Linked DNA regions of Lepisosteus oculatus. The protein of the gene in region 2 purifies or fractionates together with the protein of the main gene of each other region. This does not show direct contact. Links are inferred from orthologs where the notes say so. Each region holds a gene or a part of one and is shown on either strand. Other genes may lie near its edges. The genes, in order: pex26 and pex1.

Region 1 (9,880 bases), on a different chromosome or scaffold from region 2:
GTGGATTCACTCATTTCTGCTTGAATGGCCTTGATTCTTCAAAAAAGGATGAGAAGCAATTCATCTTAACTAAACACCCAATTTGTATCCTTTTCAGAGCCGGAAAATAATAATTTAAGCAAATACTAGACTTCTTTTCAAACACTATATTCTCACTGAACAGTAGAGCATACTTTTAGCTTAAGGGTCTTTTCATTTAAATTGAAGAAAAATCCAGAAAAATAGATCTGCATTCTTCTTTACAGAAGCTTACTAGCGCTACGGAGAAAAAAAATATCTCGTTTATACTAGATAGTATTTTGTTTATGTGAGAAAAGAAAAGTGTCTCATGTAAGGTAGAAGATTTTTTTTGTCTGTGGGGCCAATAAGCTTCTGAATCTGAGACAGATGGTATGAAACCAGATGAAATACTGTATATAAGCTCCACAATTTATATTTCCATATATGTTATAGAATACATATACATATATTGTAGAAGAATGTGTTAAAATGTACCTATGAATGATGCTGTACAGAGAGCAAGGTAGATCTTCTATAGAAATTGTATCACACTTTTCATCCCAAAATATCCTAAAGCACTAAAAACTTAATTTGCTACTGCATGACAGACCCATTATGCTCCAGCACCCCAGTGCACAGCAGATCAGATAAAGTAATGAGAAATTATTTCGGTTTAGGATAGGACAGCCCTTCTGTAGAAGTACACAGCATTCATCTCTCTGCTTTGGCCACTGGAATAATCTTAATGATCCAGTAAACATGATGACATCTTGATTTTTTCTTCACACTCTTCAGTACTACCTGTAGACTAGGCTTGATCAGATACAGCGACAAAGCACTTTATGAATCATAACTGGCGTCTTAATGTGTTATGAACTAATGTCCCTTTTGATGTCTAAGGAAATACTAAATATCAGGTCAGTAGTATGGAGCAATGACCAGGGCTCCTGATTTAAATCTTGGTTGGAACACTGCTGTACATCACTGCAATTTCTCCAGGAAATGGCTTGCAGCAGGAAAGGGCACACTCCAGGTCATCACCATAAAGGAGAATTTGTTCTCAATTTACTTATCTGGTTAGATAAATAAACAAGAACTTTCAGCTGTTCTGGTCACTGGGACCTGTGGGACGGGTTGACCCAAAAGGGCCCTGTATTTATTTTGACTTTCCTCCAAGTTCCTGAATTTCCTCAAAAAGATGTACAGCCAAAAAATTGTGAGGCTACTCACAGTCAGAACATAGCAGCAAATTCTGTCAGACTCTATGTTAATATACAGTGCCTTTAGAAAGTATTCACCCCCTTGATTTCTTTTGCATTTTGTTCCTGTTACACCTCCACATTTAACACATTAAAAATTTTTTTCACTTTTCAATAACACAATAAATTAAACATTTATGAATCTTTTTTTTTTAATTCAAGAACATTCATTTCTCCAGAATGAAAGACTTACATTTCTCATTAACAAAAGTATTTAGCCCCACCCCCAGTCAATACTTTGTACATAGTCCTTTAGCAGCAATTACAGCCATGAGTCTTCTCGGGATTGTCTGTATGAGCTTTGCACATTTAAATTGTGGTATTTTTGCCCATTCTTCAATGCAAATTTGCTCCAACTCTGCCAAATTAGATGGAGAGCATCTGTGGAAAGAAATGTTCAGGTCTCACCACAGAATTTCAATTGGATTCACCTCTGGGCTCTAGCTGGGCCATTCCAGAATACTAACCTTCTTTTTTTCAAACCATTCCTTGATAGTTTTTGCCATGTGCTTTGGGTCATTGTCCTGCTGGAAAATGAATCTTCAACCTAAACGCAGATCTCTGGCTGACTGAAACAGGTTCTCCTCAAGGATTTGCCTGTATTTGGCTCCATCCATGTTGCCCTTGATGGCAACAAGCTTTCCAGTTCCTCCTGCTAAAAAGCAACCCCAGAGCATGATGCTGCCACCACCATGCTTGATGGTGTTACCTGGGTGTTCAGTTGTATTTGGTTTCTAGCAAACTCCAGGAGTGATTTAATGTTGGCCTTTCTCAGAAGTGGCTTCCTTCTAGCCAATCTCCCAAAGAGGCCAAATCTGTGAAGTGCTGAAGAGATTGTTGATGTCTGGACAGTTTCTCCCATTTAAGCCAAAGAGCTCTGCAACTCTGTCAGTGTTGTAGCTGGCCTCTTGGTCACTTCTCTGACAATTGGCCTTCTTGTCCGGTTGCTCAATTTGGTAGGACGGCCTGATCTTAGTAGTGTCTAGGTTGTGCCATGTTTTTTCCATTTTGTTACACTGGACTTCACGGTGCTCCTAGGAAGGCTCAAAGCTTTGCCAATCTTTTAATAACCTTCTCCAGTTTTTTTCCTCCTTACAACTTCTTCTCGAAGTTCCACGGGCAGTGCACCATCGTCACACCCCCGTTCGTCCACCTGCCCAGTTCCTCTCCGTCTCCTCCCCGTGTCTGTTGCACTCCCTTCCGGATTCTATCGTCTGCATAGGGTCCTGATCTACTCTTCGTGACATTTAGTGTGATATCTCTCAAGGTGGTTGAATACCTCACCCAATTTAGGTTGTTAAAACAAAGGGGGTGAATACTTATCAATTAAGAAATTTTCAGATTTTTATTTTTAATATAATTTTGAAGACGTCTAAATACTTCATTTCATTTTAACATTTTAGAGGAAAAAAATCCCATTTAAATATGTTTTAATTTGACTTTGCAACACAGTAGAACAAGAAATCATCAATGGGGGTGAATACTTTTTGAAGGCACTGTAAACTACTTAATTTTATTAATCAATACCCAGATTTCCTTGTCAATCTCATTATTGGCCCCCAAAACATATTGCACTATTATGAGTACACAACACGCCCTTGTTTGTCTTTGGCTGTAGCGGTACCTTGATGTGTCCTCCTGCTCAGGGACACTCCCCATGCTGTCCAAACCTCTCTCGCATGAATCCAGCGCTGCTCGAAAATCCCGCTGCACCATCAGCTGCTCGGCGGCGGTCTCCAGCAGGCTGAGCGCCTGAGCCGAGCCCTGGGACAGCAGCGGGCTGCTGCCGAGTCGCACCGAGCCCAGGCCCCTCACATGGGCCAGAGAGGTGGAGGAGCTGCTCCGCATCCTTGCAGAGAAACAGAAAATATTCACTTTCCACAGCAGCGCAAGGACTGCGTCTTCTGTTAAGATACAATGCAACAGCATGCAGATTTGTGTTCACTGTCATAATTCCTTCAGCAAATCCTATAGTGCCTTCAGCAAGTCACCCACAATGGCTACATGGACATACAGTTTTCATTGTATTTGGCATACTGCACTACTTGGACATAATGTATTGCATACACCCTGGACACATAGCAACTCTATTTATATTGAGTTTATCTTATTGAATTTCTATTGCACTATTATCTATCATTATGTAACCTTATTTTGCAACTTTAATTCTGTGATTTTTATCTCTCCCAGTGAGCTCGTAGAAAAGACATTCCATTGCCAGCAACTACTGCTGCACACTGTGTTGTTGTGCATTTGATAAATAAACTTTGATTGATAACTTCAAATAAGAATGAAAGCACTTATTCATCTATCCATCCATTTTCTAACCGCTTTATCCAGTTCAGGGTCTCGGGGGATCCGAAGCCTATCGCGGGAAGCAACTAGCACAGGGCAGGATACACCCTGGACAGAACTCCCATCCAACACCACAGACACAGGCCCCCAGCGCTGCAAACTAGCAATGCCAACTACTGCACCATCATGCCACCATAAGTAATCATTTATTCTGCAAATAGGCATGCATGTACATGTGTACTGCATATCAATCCACTATGAAGTTACTAATCACTCTGAATACAATACTCACTTGTTTCACTTAAGAAGTGAAAAACCCGATCTGGATACTAATGTTAAGTAATTCAGTATGTAAAGGCATAAAAGTATGTAAAGGCATAAAAAAACAACGAAAATCTTTGCGAATATGCATTCGATTAAGAATTTATTTTTAAATTGCAGATGTTAATCGAAAAGTGTCAGGAGGTTTTATCTCCGTAAAAAGCATTACAAATAATTCACTCCATATAGTACGTTTTATATTTATTCTGAGTAAATAACCATCTAACATTTTCTCCACCGTTTGCAGAACTGTACGACAAAAGTTATTTGAGTTTTTATTGATCTTTTTGAACCATCAATCCATTAACACTAACATCATTTTAAAGAGATCATTTTTAAAGAGACTTTTACTTACTATACTCTTCACATTTACTATATAATATACCAACCTTTCACGCACTCACAGCACGTTTAATCCTGTTTCGCAGAAAACTGACTTTCACTATTTAAAATTGAGCAGGTAACATTAATGTATTTTACCACATCGAAACGCAAGAGGAAAAGAAAGCAAAAAAAAGATATTGTGTTGATTTAGAAATCTGCGTCTAAAAAATCAAAACCTTATTACACTTTTTTCCACATCAAAGTTAAAACTGATCAGCTACACAGCGGACATACTTGGAGCGGATGTCAACAACGCAATGAACTGTGGGAATCATAGTTTTTACTGTTAGAATGCACTCATTGGAGACCGCTAGAAAACTACACTTCCCATAATATATGTTTGTGGAGACTATAATAATAATAATAATAATTGCTTACACTTATATAGCGCTTTTCTGGACACTCCACTCAAAGCGCTTTACAGGTAATGGGGACTCCCCTCCACCACCACCAATGTGCAGCATCCACCTGGATGATGCGACGGCAGCCATAGTGCGCCAGAACGCTCACCACACATCAGCTATCAGTGGGGAGGAGAGCAGAGTAATGTAGCCAATTTGGCCAGGACACCGGGGTACACCCCTACTCTTTTCGAGAAGAGCCCTGGGATTTTTAATGACCACAGAGAGTCAGGACCTCGGTTTTACGTCTCATCCGAAGGACGGACTAATACTTATTTTTATAATTTTATAAAGCAGCAACTTACTAATATTTTATTTTTATAAGATTATAATTAATTTAATATAATACATAACAAATATATTATTGAATATAATATACTTTATATTTTATCTTTATAAATGTTTCTTATTTGTTTATTCTCTGGTATATGAAATATTACAGCAGGAGCTACCAGCTATTCTTCATACCTGCCAAGTATTGCAAAAGTATTCAGACCCCTAGATCAGATATTTTGTTTCTTTAAAGCTGGCAGTCACGACACCGTTGAAACAGCAATGAATAGTTATCACATGCACAGCCTATTCCACAGCACTGCATCTGTAGCAGCAGGAAGGTTAAGATGCTCTTGACTTTTGTAGCGTTTGTGTCCTCTATTCTTAACACATAGAGAGATAAACAGAAAAAAAAATTAAAAGTTAGCACAACCTATACTATTTGTGATATAACATGGAATCTAGAATAGTAGGAGATGGAGCGTGAGTAGGACACCAGCTATCTCAATCTGACACACTTGATTGTTATTTTTTTAACTGTTTGGGTTTTCTTATACATTTATTTTGTGAGCAACTGCAGTACTTACACAATCTGACCGATTTTTCTAGAGTTTTGTCACAAAAGCTATTCTTGATCTACTTCATGATTTCTGTTAATTCTAAATCGGAGCAAGACCTTAGACTATATGGACAGTGGATAATTTTAGTTTTTTTCAGTCTCCCATTCTCTTCCCTTTTCCCCTTCTCCCCCTCTACAATCAAAAGCTCAGTTTTTTTAATAACTGAATTATCCTGACTTCAATACATACACTTACAATTAATCTAAGTTAGGTTTTTCCTATCAGCTTTTGAGGATTTCCCTTGATAGACTTATTTTATAAATCAGGTGGGTAGCTGCGTCAGCATGCGTAGGCTGCAAAGGAACAAGTAATAGGTTTATTCCATGCTGAAAAAAAGAAGAAAGAGAACACAACGTTGAAACGTTGTGTTCTCTTTCTTCTTTTTTTCAGCATGGAATAAACCTATTACTTGTTATTTTATAAATATTCAATTATTCTACAGCTATTGCCTATGCATTTCCCCTGTTTTAACTGACAGCTCAGATGTTATGCCACTAAGACAGTGACATTAAAACAAAACGTTCTATTTTTTAAAGAGTGGTTTAATGTCTGAAATCATGTGTACACTTTAACATACTCTGTGACAGTTCAAGAACACTTCAGAACACAGCAGTGCAGGTTTTTAGGGCTAATTGTAATGATCTGTATTTAGTAACTTTGGGATAAAAATCTTCAGACTGCTTGCTATTTCCATCTGTATCCCATGGTCTGTCTTAGCATTTGCTCACTATTTTGTACAGTGTTAAGCAAATGTATATGAAATAGCCATCTTTTGTCTTACAGGCAATCTACTGCATTCCTATAGTGCTTCCTCTAAGAGCTACAGGTCAGGTGCAGCTGAAGTCTTTATTGGAGAATAAAAGTGTGTTGTTCAGATGACTGGCTTTAAATGAATTAAAAATACTATGTGAATGTTAAAAATTCCAAAATGAAAATGACAAAACTCCACTTAATTGCAGAAATAAATATAACTGATTAACTCAGTATTTTTTTGTTTTTGCTTGCCTGTAGTGATTCACTCAAGCACATAAATCTGTGTTGATATCAATTAATGTCTCTGTGGGAGTTTGAATATGACAGCTCTAGGCGTGGGAACAGATACAGACATTGGTCTTATACAATTGTAGATAGAACTTTTAATCAGATTATGTGAACATTGGGGTAAGTATAAACCTACTCTGGATACTTTACTTGTGTGCTGTCATGTGTAATCTGCACATGATATACCGATTCTTTTCGTTCAAATACAGTGTCAAATCTCTGGAGTTGTCCTGTAATTATACTGTAATTAATCATTCGATCTTAAATTATATATTTTGTAGTTGTATTAATCAAGGCAATAATAACTCAAACATTTATATAAACATAAATCAGCCTCTTTGGCCAATTTAAACTACAGTGTATAGTTCAAAATATTTGTACATATGAAATCAAAATCTCTCAGCACTCAAGATTTGTTTTCTCTGTTGGGTTAATCAGTACTAGACAGTTTTTCTCTTGCAGGTGTGACAGTGGAACACAGCTCTTTCTGCACTCCGTACTCCGCGGCGCTAGGGAATGCACAGCTACTGTAACTACAGCACCTGAGGCTTAACAGGTTTGCTATTTAACATCCCCGCGAGCGCGCGGATGGGGTCCAAGCTCTGAACCAGCGTTGTAGCGAAGTGGTTACCGAAGTATAATTTTCCCTTTAGTGGAAAGACTTTTCGTTGTACAGTATATAGCGGAGAAGACGCCTTACGATACGACTATACACCAGCACACCGCTTGCTCCGTGGTTACGGAAACGAAGCGCTCTGCCGGTGTTCAGGCAGTCCACGCAAGCCCCTCACTATTAACGTTTGGCGCCAAATTACACTCCTGAGTGTCTGTGGCAAACAGCCTTCTGCTATCCAGGCCATTGTCCTTCTTAACGCACATTAATTTCCCCTGTTCTTGGCAGGGGGTGGATACTTTTGTAAGACACAATGTGCATTTCATTGTCGCATGTTAGCCAGAATCACGCTGTGTTCCAGCTCTGAGGATGTTATTGGAGATACCGGCTTAATAATGAGAGATACACACACAATGGAAGAAACGATAGTATTTTGAGCAGTAATGTTAGTGAGATTGACTTTAAGTTTCTGATTGACTCTGTGGTACTCGGAGCATGATGGCTTAATAAAATTACATCTTGAAGGAAAGCCCTTGTTCCCATTTGTAATGGTACAAAGCTCACAGTGAATCCAAATATGTGGATGTAAAAATAAAATAATGATTGTGCATTTGAAAAATCCTCCTCTGTAAAGATAGTAAGGACTTTGTGTAATAAGGAAATATATGAAGCCATCTTCCATCAAATATAAATTTTTTGACAGGTTTTATTTTGTTTACAAAACATGTCATGACTTGTGATTGTCATTGATTTTGATTTTTTAAAAGAAATCCTGCGATCCTTCCCTAGGCCTATTTAATGAAAAATATTTTCTCAGAATTCAGTGCCCAAATTCAGTCCACAGATACAGTATTTGAGGAATAAAAAAGGAGGTGGGGGCCTGTAGTGTCAGGCAGCTGTTTTCCATTGGGTGGCCTTCTCTCTCTCAACAAGCTGCGCGCACACAGGCAGCAGTTTGACCCTCAGACGTCTCTGATTAACTATGCGAGAGCAACTCGAGAAGACTGCTTCCTTTGTTTTTGGCCCAAAATAGGTTACTGTGGCGACTGTGCAGCACATAGTCCAAAAAACACAGCCTTGGAGTGTGAGTGCATGTTCTTCCTTGGAGCAATTCTGCAAACATGGAGGGGAATAAAAGTGAAGCTAAGTCAGGAGCTGAAACTGTTTACTTGAGGAAGAAGATTGACCTGCTGGGAGCTGTCTGTCTGATCATCGGCACTGTGGTGGGCAGTGGGATCTTCATTGCTCCCAAAGGTGTTCTCAAGAACAGTGGCAACGTGGGTTTGTCTCTGATCATCTGGGTGCTCTCTGGGATACTGTCCACCTTCGGTGAGTGGCGATACCAGCAGACTTTGTATGGTAGTTCTAGTCTAGTGTTCAGGTTGTTCTCCTTTGATTTAAATTATAAAAATAGTTGCAAAAATGTAGTTTTTTTTTTTGCTCTCTTGACTAATGAAAAATCATAAAAAGGTGGATTTAGCTACATGTTAAAGCATTGAACCATTATGTTATAAACACTATGCAAGAAAATTATCCTGTTGTTCACCTGTGGAACACCACCATTGTTCTGTGGGCTTCAACATGTTTAACATACTGTATAAATGGAAATCCTTAAGCAGTAAGGGTGCTGTTAACAAATTTAGCCAAGGTGACAAAAAATGGAACAATGATTTCACCTCTCATTCTGGCCATGAGATGTAAAAAGCTTGTATCAGAAACATAAAAGGTTTGTTAATTTTAACTATGCATATCCCTTCAAAACAGAAAAGGTATTTTTGTTATAATAATAATTGCTTACACTTATATAGCGCTTTTCTGGACACTCCACGCAAAGCACTTTACAAGTAATGGGGACTCCCCTCCACCACCACCGTGCAGCATCCACCTGGATGATGCAACAGCAGATATAGTGCGTCGGAACGCTCACCACACATCAGCTATCAGTGGGGAGGAGAGCAGAGTAATGTAGCCAATTTATAGAGGGGGATTATTAGGAGGCCATGATCAGTAAGGGCCATTGGGAAATTTGGCCAGGACACCGGGGTTACACCCCTACTCTTTTCGAGAAGCGCCCTGGGATTTTTAATGACCACAGAGAGTCAGGTCCTCGGTTTTACGTCTCATCTGAAGGACGGCGCCTGTTTTACAGTATAGTGTCACCTTCACTATACTGGGACATTAGGACCCACATGGACCGCAGGGTGAGCGCCCCCTGCTGTCCCCACTAACACCTCTTCCAGCAGCAACCTTAGTTTTTCCCAGGAGGTCTCCGATCCAGGTACTGACCAGGCTCACACATGCTTAGCTTCAGTGGGCTACCAGTGGTGAGCTGCAGGGTGATATGGCTGCTGGATCGTTTGTAGTTGTAGTTTACAGGATGCTCTATTATTTCACTTTATTAATTAAGTGTTATTAATTATTTCTATGCCTTGACCAAGCAGCCTGGTGCCTCTCCCTAAATGCAGAGGAATGTGGTGAATAGGCCCCTCTGATAAAAGACCTCATAAAATTGTGATGTATAGTGCAGATGGGTTCCTGCACGTCTCCAGGTTGAATCATTCCCAACAATCACAGATCCGCCAATAATTGATCTGTAGGTGGGTACCAGAACCAAATCTGATAGCATCTTGGCCAATCACAAACTGTTAATGTCGCCACATATAAACTGGACCA
Region 2 (9,305 bases):
TTGCCTTCGTGGACTGGCAAGGCGACAAAGCTGGACCTCCCTGTGAGCCAAGGCAGCTCTTCATTATTCTGAGCTTGCAGCCAGTCCAGGAAAGCAGACTGGACATCCTGCTCCTTGACCTTCTGCGGCTGAGGAAAGGTAAAGATTAAACACTTCTGTCAGGTCTCTTAGTTTCAATATGGGCAACTGAGACATAAAAGCACCACAAGGCTGGAGCAATTTCTACACACAACAGACACAAACAAAGACAGGCACTTTCACTTAAGTGGGGGTTTCAGAAACAGAAGAGAAGCTGGGCTATACAATAACTAGACCAATGACTCCACTCAAGAAAAAAAAATACTCTAAAGAAACCCATGTGCTTTACACTTCTAGCAAAAATACCTTTAATCCTTTTAACTGGAGAGAGCTTTGCATTTTATCTCCTACAAAATCTACGGTTCAACTCACCAGTGATTGCAAGGGCTGCAATCGGACACAGGATGCTATTTCTGGGACTGAGTTTAATGGCTGTATTCTAACGGCTGTGCAGAAATCAATACCCAGTCTTCTTCTAATGGATTCTGAAATCTGTGGACAATAAGGATAATGAGACACACAGGCCGGGATTTGGAAAACAATACAAAGCAATATAGAAGGGTACTGAAACAAACAGTATATCAGTCATTTAACCACTGAATCAATGTGATATACAGTATTTGACATTTCCCATGCTTGTTCACCCAAAGACATTAAACTCCTTTTGAACCGCACTTAGAATCATTTACAGTGAGCGGCTTTGTTAGGATCCTAGTTCCATTTGTTCACAGAACACATTGGAATTCTTTATAGCATCTCCCCTGCTGCTAAAACAGTGAGGCAAATGGGCTATTAATGTATTTTTTAAATTAAATGTGTACAGTATATACTGTATCCTGCTATCCTACAGGTGAATCAACAAGATTCAAGGGAATCACTAGAGTCAAAAGCATCAACTACACACATTTAAAAACCTATTTTAAACCCTTTGTAAACATTCCTGTCACCAGCTCCAAATTGAATGCAGCCCTGTGGCTGTAATCGTACTGTATATCGACACTGTTGTGTCCAAGCAACGTGCTTTCCTACCCCTCGTTTACTCTTCCGGAGCAATCTGAGTGACGTACCTCGCTACAGTGTCTGAACCCACCAACTCCAGTAACGAGTCTGGAGCTCGAACCACTGAGCCGTGCTGCGGCCCCCCACTCACCCACACCCTCCCACCATACGGCATCCCTCTCCTGCTGCCGCAGCCCTGGGTGTCCGCCAGCTCCTCCACCCCATGGCATATGATCCTGACGGCCAGGGGCCCTGCGGCGCCCCCTCCGGACCCGAGCTGGTCTCCAGCGCCCCGAGCCTCGGGGCCCCTCTTCCTCTCGGGCTGGGACAGCGTCCTGTGCGGCTTTTCCCTTGGTTCCCTGGGGCGGTGCAGCCCGGACAGCCGGCCGTAGGTGACAGCGAACGGGGCCCCGCCGCGCGCCGCGCAGGGGTGGCGCCAGGGGAAGACGTGGGCTGCTCCGTGACCGGGGCTCTGCCGGCCGGCAGGGAAGGGGGCGCTCCTGCTCACTCTGAAAACAGAGTCCCCGAGGACGGGCGGCACCGAAGGGACAGCGGGAACCTCCCTCTGGGGGGCAGGGCTCCCGGCGAACATGGATCGGATCAGGCTCCGCAGATTGCGCCCCCCTCCGGGGGAGACGCACGGTGGCGCCCCGCGGTGGGTGCCCAACGCGTCTCTCCCCGGGGCGTTGTCTGGCCCGTGCGGACCCCGAGCCTGACTGGCATCTGCTTGCCAGTTCGGGGGGGCAGAAGGGCGCGCCGGGCTCTCCCCGTCTTGGCGCAGCTTGGGGGAGACGATCAGCTCGGTGAGCTGCTCCAGCCGGCCATACGGAGCAGCGGGCGTGAGGGCAGCTGGAGCCGAGCAGGAACAGGAAGATCAACGCGTTACAAACAGTCTGTCATTGTTTCTCGGGAGACAGATGCTGGACCACAATTGACATAACAATGACACATTTAAGGACTTAACACACAACATATGTGTGAACAATATTGTTGTTTTTTTTTGCTGGCTGGAGTTTGGAGGTTGTAATTGTATGAAGATTAATCATAGGTAAGAAGTCAATATCCAGCTTACACAAAACCACTATAGTAAGTCTAAACTTTGCCTCACACTAGGTTAACTACGTCATGGGAATACAACCGTAAATAACACTGACTGAAGTCAAACTTTCATGTTTTTTTCTAATGCAAGCCAGGGACTATTTCTAACAGCAAGCTCAATGGTCACTAAAACTAGCTTTAGTACACATCCAAGAAATCAGCAAAAGTGGCAAAAACATTAATTATTAAGTCTCCTACTAACATTGACAATGTCTTTTCCTCCTGCTTATGAATGAACACCTGATTCACGTATTTCAAAATTAAATACCTGGAGACCTGGAGCTGGGATTAGGCTCCCCTTAAACGTGTAATAAGTGTGTTTTACACACACAATAAAGTGACTCTTGCTGGCCTGTTTGTGTCTGTGTCTCCAATAATACATTTTAACAAAGGTAGGTAGGTTAGGTCCCCTTTTCAGGCCATAAAGGCCCATGGAGAAAGGGAGGCAGGGGCCACCATTCTTTTCAACCATCTGACACTGGAGGTGGAGGTGATGCGGTCAGCATCGCACTCCGGCCAGCCTGTTACCCCCAGAAGGATTAACCCCCGGTACTCATTTGGAAAGCAGGCTGAGTGGACCTGGGTGTCTTCAGGAAGGAATTAGAGCAAGCGAAATCACTTGCCCCTACCTGGGATTAATCCCAGGACCTTCCAGTCAGGAGCTAGACCTCACATTTCAACAAAACAAAAGCAAAATGAGTGCAACATCTTGCAGAGGAACACACGGGTCTCATGCCACTTAGGTCTTAAATCACCCGGCATAGCACCGAATACCTGCTACAGAACAATTGCGGATAGAGGGAAGAGTGCAAATTGCAAACCTATCCTGACGTAGATGACAGTGTGCTGGTCCACCCACACGGGAAACAGTCCGTTTGGATACACGACCCTTATCTGGTCAAGGAGGTGTCGCTCAAGTGCTGAGCTGTGAAGCTCCTGAAAGAAAAGTGACAGCCCGTCGTCAGCTCGTGTAATCTCAGTGGGACAATAACAAACCCGCGCCATTTTTATCACATTTAAGTGATGTCCATTCTCACTTCTGACAAACGCATGATTGGGTCAAAATGTGAATATTCAAGTTAATTTGTCATATACAGTAGATGAGAGCATTTGGTTTACATTAAAAAATTGCAGACTAAACACATACCAATATCTCCCAGTCATCAGATGACAGTGGTTCCACAAACACCTGCTGAATGGATAGGATCTGCCAGCAAGGTCTGAGAAATGCCTGGAAAATAATGTAATAAAACTTCACACATTCACATACAGTATAAAGAAACAGCACATATGTAATTATCACAATAATCGTCATCATAATGGTAACTTCCTTGTGATAAGAATGATGTTGTTAGGCAAACATAGAGTGAAGCTCAAGGGTTTGTCATGCAGTAGGTGGGTGTCTCTGTTTTGAGGTTGTCCTTTGCAGCCGTTTGTGTAAAATATGACACCAGAAATTCAGGAGCTGGAGAAGCTGTCCATGACATCCCTACCTGCTCTCCATCTTTGATTCCAAGCCTGGCACCCAAGTGCCTGTTGACCTCTACAACGCTCTCCCCCTGGAATGAAGACTGCAGGCATTTCGTCCAGCTGAGGTACACGGGTTGACAGCGGTCCCAGGAGAGCTCCAGGGCTTGGTTCTGATTGGAAACGCAAAAAGAAAACAGAAACAGAAACACCTCGCATCGCAATCACGCGGCCGAGGTCTCATCCTGTGGGGAGTCTATTAAAAGGGTCATCTCCAGCTCCTCACCGCGGAAAGGTTTCAAATGAATCAATCAATCAAGAAATCAGTTCTAGTACAAGACCGCTGAGTCCAAACGAGATGAAAATGAGAAACCCCCCTGCAAATACTGGACCGTGGCAGTCGGCTCTAAACCCTGCGCTGTATTTGAGTATCCGTCTCAGCTATGATTCAGACTCAAAGGTGTAAAGATCCACCTTATAAGCGAGTTTCGTATTAGACTGTATTTCGACATCTTTATTTATGCTAAGTCCTGACTACAAACAATACGCAAGCATTGGCAATTGGTTAGGTACATGGATATCACTAACACGACAACGTAAGGTCTCAGAGTACTACCTCTTGAAGGCGAAGCTGTGAAACTAAGCTCGAAGAGAGGTGCAGAAAACAGTTTTTAGCATTATTAAAAACTAATGTCACTGGCTGTATGCCATGGCTTCCCAGCATTGCTGCTGCAGAAATAGATATTACAAGATACTGTACAGCAGCGCTTCACCACCTGCAGAGAGGAGGGCAATGCGAGCGACTCGCTCTCCGGCTAGGAGCAGTTCAACAAAAATCGTCAAATTTGAATATTTTGTAGGTGCTGCTGCTGTTCGGTATTACAGCATCGAAGCTTTGCTGTGCACGAAGAGTATGTATTTCCCCCAGTACATCTCTGTGTAAATTAATTATTTGATATTAATTGTCTGTCACCCTAAACGTAAATGAAACATTCTTTTTTTAAATCTTATTGCAACGCGCATTGAGATTATGCACCAGTCCCCTAAGTATCAAAACAGGAACTCGGTTTTATTTTTCATTGGTTTAAAGCTGACAGACTACAGCCTATGGTACTGTACAATGATACGGGGGCAATCAGCGCCAGAAACCTTCCCGATTGGTCACGCTCGATTAGCTCTGTGTAGGCTGTTTCTGCCTTGACAGAACAAGATGGCTGCCTCCAGTTGGAGCATCCCGGAGATTTTAAAACACCACCAACAAACAGACGTTTGTTATACAAGAGCTAAATACAGGGAAGGGAGGAGGCTTAAGGCTGTCAAGGTTAGCTTTTTCCCCCTGTGTTTGTCTTTACCGAAACGATTGTTTCTGTACGTAGCCTGCTATATCAATTACTGTGTTCTGCTGGGCTCAAGCTGTCAGACAAGAAACATCTTTAAACTCTTTCAGATTAGAAACTTGCTTTTAATGCGGGTTTACGAAGTCCAGCACGACCACAGTATATTTAACCCAGCAGAGCTCTATTGGAGCAGTCTAAGAAGACTGACTCTTATTTATTGACGGTGACAAAGTCAAAAGCAGCTTTAGGAAGTGTAATATGTGCAATTCCTTTTGTTTAGGTTTATACTATCAACTTGGAGTCCCGCTGCTTGTTGGTCCAGGGGGTGCCTGCGTTGGGGGTGATGTCTGAGCTGGTTCAGCTTTTTGCTCTGTATGGAGTGATTGAAGAATACCGTGTGTTAGACGAATATCCGTCAGAACAATTCACAGAAGTGTACTTGATAAAGTTCCAGAAACTACAAAGTGCAAGGTAACAGTTCTGGTATTTTCATTTATAATACCACTTCACACCAGTAAGGTAACAGTGGTCTTCCTAGCATTTGGATCGAATTCACATTTGTGTTTCTTGTTCTGTTTGCTGTTTGTGTGTGTTTTTTTTGCTAACTGCTTGTTTGTGATGAACTGAAGGACAAAACGTTATGCCAGCAAGGCATACAGCCTACTCGACAATAAAATCTGGATTTCTTTAAGCACATTAATTCGAGTTAATTTCACCTGTTAATTGTGAAAGTGCAGAATATTCAGTGAATATACTGTGACTGTGTGATTTTAGTAAATATCCCTTTATTTTTAATACAACACCAAAGAAATAATTGCATTTTAAAATGTTGATAAAACGAAAAATCATCAGTGTCCCACAACTATTTAAAATATTTTACCCAATACAGAGTAGCCAAACGAAAACTGGATGAGAGGAGTTTTTTTGGTGGACTTCTACATGTGTGCTATGCTCCAGAGTATGAAACGGTGCAGGACACCAGGGAAAAATTGCAGGACAGGAGGAGGTATATTGCAAGAGTAACACGGAATAAAGGTGAGCTTTTTAAAATAAAAATCAAATGTTGAGTCAAATGAATCAAATGTTGATTCATGCTTTAGTCAGAATAGTCCTAAAAGTTCAGAAGACCTTCCCATTTAAAGCTGGGGGCCCATATTTGTTCCACTCTTTAAGTGTAGTTGATCACTTACACGAATTTAAAAGCTTTGTAAGGAGGTCTTATGTAATAGTTATGAATATACAAAGACAAAATCGATATTTGTTTTTTTTGTTTACCAGACCTTGTGGATTTAATGTGCATATCCTGAAATACTACGAGTGTTCTGGAAGTCAGGCTTCTTATTTCCTTCCAGGAGGAGACCATGATAATACAGAGAAGAAAGTGGAGAAGCCTAGTACATCTGAGGAAGCTGCATGTGAACAACAGCAAGCAGAGGAAACTGGTGATGATGGTGAAAAAGTCGAGAGCTGGAATGATTATTATGGCTATCCCATGCTGCCTCCTCCTCCTCAGGAAGACATCCCTGGGCATCAGTCGTTTGGGGAACAGACATATTTTAGCTTTAAGGGACTTCCGGAAGTGGGTTCTTCATCTGAAAGGTTCAGAGTGGTGCCCAGGAATCGTTCAGCTGATCACAGTAAGAATTCCTTGGGGGATCCCTTAGGGTCTGTTCGTAAAGATAAGCGAGTTCACAAGGACCAGAAAGATCCTGTTGCTGTAGTTAAAAGCAGTACTGCAAGATTCATACCAAGAACCACACATTTACAAGAAAGGAAAAGAAAAATGGAACAGGCTGGGGAACTCTCTCTTTTGGGAATTAACAGAACAAATGAGACAATCATTGGACCAAAACTACCAGAAACACCCAAAGTGGATATGGGAGATGATTCCCTAAACACTTCAGTCGACTTAATCAGATCAAAAATAATTAAGGTGAGTTGCAGATTTTAAGTTCTTTATAAGACCTTCACTGTCTTAGCATTTCATTTCTGTTATGTGTGTTTGGCATTATTCTCCATTTCTGCTGTTGTTCAGTAGGCCAGTAGAGCTGTTAAAAACACAAGCCATCAGAAACCTCACACATTACAGTACTTGTAAGATATTTGGAAAGGCTTTGCACAGTAGTGTAGTGTTACAAAACCAACAAGCATATGTGTGAGAAGAACTGCCCAGCTGGATTCCATGTGCATAACTTCCAATAATAGGACTATCAGATCTGAAATGTTTCTAATTCGTCTCTTTTAGTCCACATATAGATTTCCAAATAAACTGGTGCTCAGATGTGCACCTGTGTTTGTACATAATCCATTATGAGCCACTCATGCCTTTTTTTTCTATCGCCACCTTTCCATCTCTCCGAAGACTATTCAGTAGGAGACATATTCTGCCTCGAGGCACTGTGGAGTTATAACAATATAGGAAAACTGTGTTGGGGCATTTTACCATATTTGTTTTTTCTTTTGCAACCAGATCTCTTCGGTTCCAGAGTCAAAGCCAGGAGAGCAGCAGCCAATTGCCCCAAAACCACGCAGGAGGATTTAATTGTGCTCTTTACACTGGGAAACGCTCTGCTCGAGAGCAAGGAGCTGTGTGAATGAGGATGAGACATAACACATTGATTTCCGAGTGGCTCCAGAAGGTCTTCAGCATTCCAAAACGGTCATTCTCGGACATTAACTAGAATAATAAGAAGCCCATGAAATCACTTTGATTAAATTAATATTGATATTTGAAAGGTGCTGAAGAAACCTCCTTGCTGAACAGAAGTAGGAGGAACAATCCAGATAAGCATTAGAACTAATACAGTCTGGCGTTAGTGTTTTGACCTTAAAAGGCATAACAAACAAACAATGTTTTGGCTGTAAAATGCAAAAAATCCCACAACATTTTAGCTGTGAAGCCTTCTTCAGGCACACATTTGAAGACGATTACAACTGAAACACTACACTACAACACCCTCAAAGAAAAGTGATTATGAACTGGCTTTTCATAAGGACAGGATTAAGCTTGTTTGCAATACATCCAAATAAAAGTTTATTTCTTACAAAGGTAGTCAATTCTAGATTATATAATATTATTTAAGTCTCAGTAGTATTGTGGAACACCTGCTGTTCAAATGCCAGTATACTCTGTAATACAAAGAGAAAAAAAGATAAATTTGTTTTGAATTACACATGATAAGTATTAATCTTTGAGATATTATAAAAATGTTCCAATATAATTGTCTACCGTACAAAAGCAAATTTACATTTTTAAAATAAAAGCATTTCTAAGTATATTTTGTAATGTTTAACATAAACACACCAATTACACAAATTCTTAAATCTGTGAGATTTGCCACATTAGAACATATTTGAACTAAATTTGTGATGTGTATTTACCATTAAATGTAGTTAAATCTTATCATGATGTAACGTTACATCTCTTGTAAGCAGTAAAATCTGGCTATTCTCTCTGTGTTCATGTGCTCCATCAGTCAGTGTAAAGCTCTCTTTTAATTGGATACCTTTGTATCAGGAAGGCACATTCCAAAGGCTTCAAGTAAAAGATTTTCATCCCGCACTGCTTTCTCAAAATCTGTGTATGAAAGTCTGCTGTCGTGGTCATGGTCCTGTAAATAATAATAAAGGTTTATTTTTGTATTACGAGTATAAAGTATTTGTATTTGTATCCTAATAATGTTCGACTTTTTTCTGTCTTTGCATTATTTTTATTGAGAAAATGTAATGGTACCATGTTCAGAATAATTTGATAGAGTATTTTTACTTCACTTGGATTACTTACCATAAATGTTGAACCTGATTTGGTAGTTAGCCACACTTTAAAAACAATCTATTTTTTAAATAATAGCTGGCTTGCACTACAGGATGAACTACTTCTTTCAAGTGTCAGTACAGACAATATTAAATGCATTAATATTGGGTATATATGTAGATATAGTTGTAAGATATAACTTGAAGTGTAATATAAGTGAAATATTCCTGATAACATGTTTATGTGTGTTTTTACAGAATGTTGATATAATATGTACTAGAAATAAACTGAAGTATTACAAGTCTGTACATCTCAAATACTGTGTGCTTGAAGGTACTCTTTGTACAGATGTGTAAACTGAGCAAACTTTCAAAGGTTACATTTTTGATTAGTATTACTGAAATACAAACTCAGTTAGAGTATAGGGGGAACTTCCAAACCTAAGACCAGTCTTAAACAAGGTTTCAGCTCAAGACACCAAACAGGAATAGTCTCACCATCTTTTTCAGTGTGATCTCTACCAAGTCTTTGATCCCCTCATCTGGGTCTTCTTCTGTGGGTTGTTTTATTAG

What was found.
Region 1: the proteins of pex1 (region 2) and pex26 purify together in Homo sapiens (affinity purification with western blotting; 3 studies listed by BioGRID and IntAct, with this or other methods). This does not show direct contact. The link is inferred for Lepisosteus oculatus from reciprocal best matches to the Homo sapiens genes PEX1 and PEX26.

The regions. Positions count from the first base shown.
Region 1 is NC_090702.1:9,040,195-9,050,074, reverse strand, and holds the start of pex26 (peroxisome assembly protein 26), read right to left. Parts: upstream 4,499-9,880; 5' UTR 4,265-4,498; intron 3,109-4,264; 5' UTR 3,108-3,108; coding exon 2,884-3,107; intron 1-2,883. Other genes in the region: cystine/glutamate transporter, read left to right, coding at 8,329-8,536. UniProt on the Homo sapiens protein: Peroxisomal docking factor that anchors PEX1 and PEX6 to peroxisome membranes. PEX26 is therefore required for the formation of the PEX1-PEX6 AAA ATPase complex, a complex that mediates the extraction of the PEX5 receptor from peroxisomal membrane.
Region 2 is NC_090705.1:5,010,225-5,019,529, reverse strand, and holds the start of pex1 (peroxisomal ATPase PEX1), read right to left. Parts: upstream 4,714-9,305; 5' UTR 4,367-4,713; coding exon 4,259-4,366; intron 3,816-4,258; coding exon 3,669-3,815; intron 3,407-3,668; coding exon 3,323-3,406; intron 3,112-3,322; coding exon 2,997-3,111; intron 1,927-2,996; coding exon 1,229-1,926; intron 571-1,228; coding exon 451-570; intron 129-450; coding exon 5-128; intron 1-4. Other genes in the region: rbm48 (RNA-binding protein 48), read left to right, coding at 4,853-4,963, 5,260-5,450, 5,869-6,014, 6,332-6,912, 7,450-7,521; clxn (calaxin), read right to left, coding at 8,058-8,108, 8,486-8,590, 9,231-9,305. UniProt on the Homo sapiens protein: Component of the PEX1-PEX6 AAA ATPase complex, a protein dislocase complex that mediates the ATP-dependent extraction of the PEX5 receptor from peroxisomal membranes, an essential step for PEX5 recycling.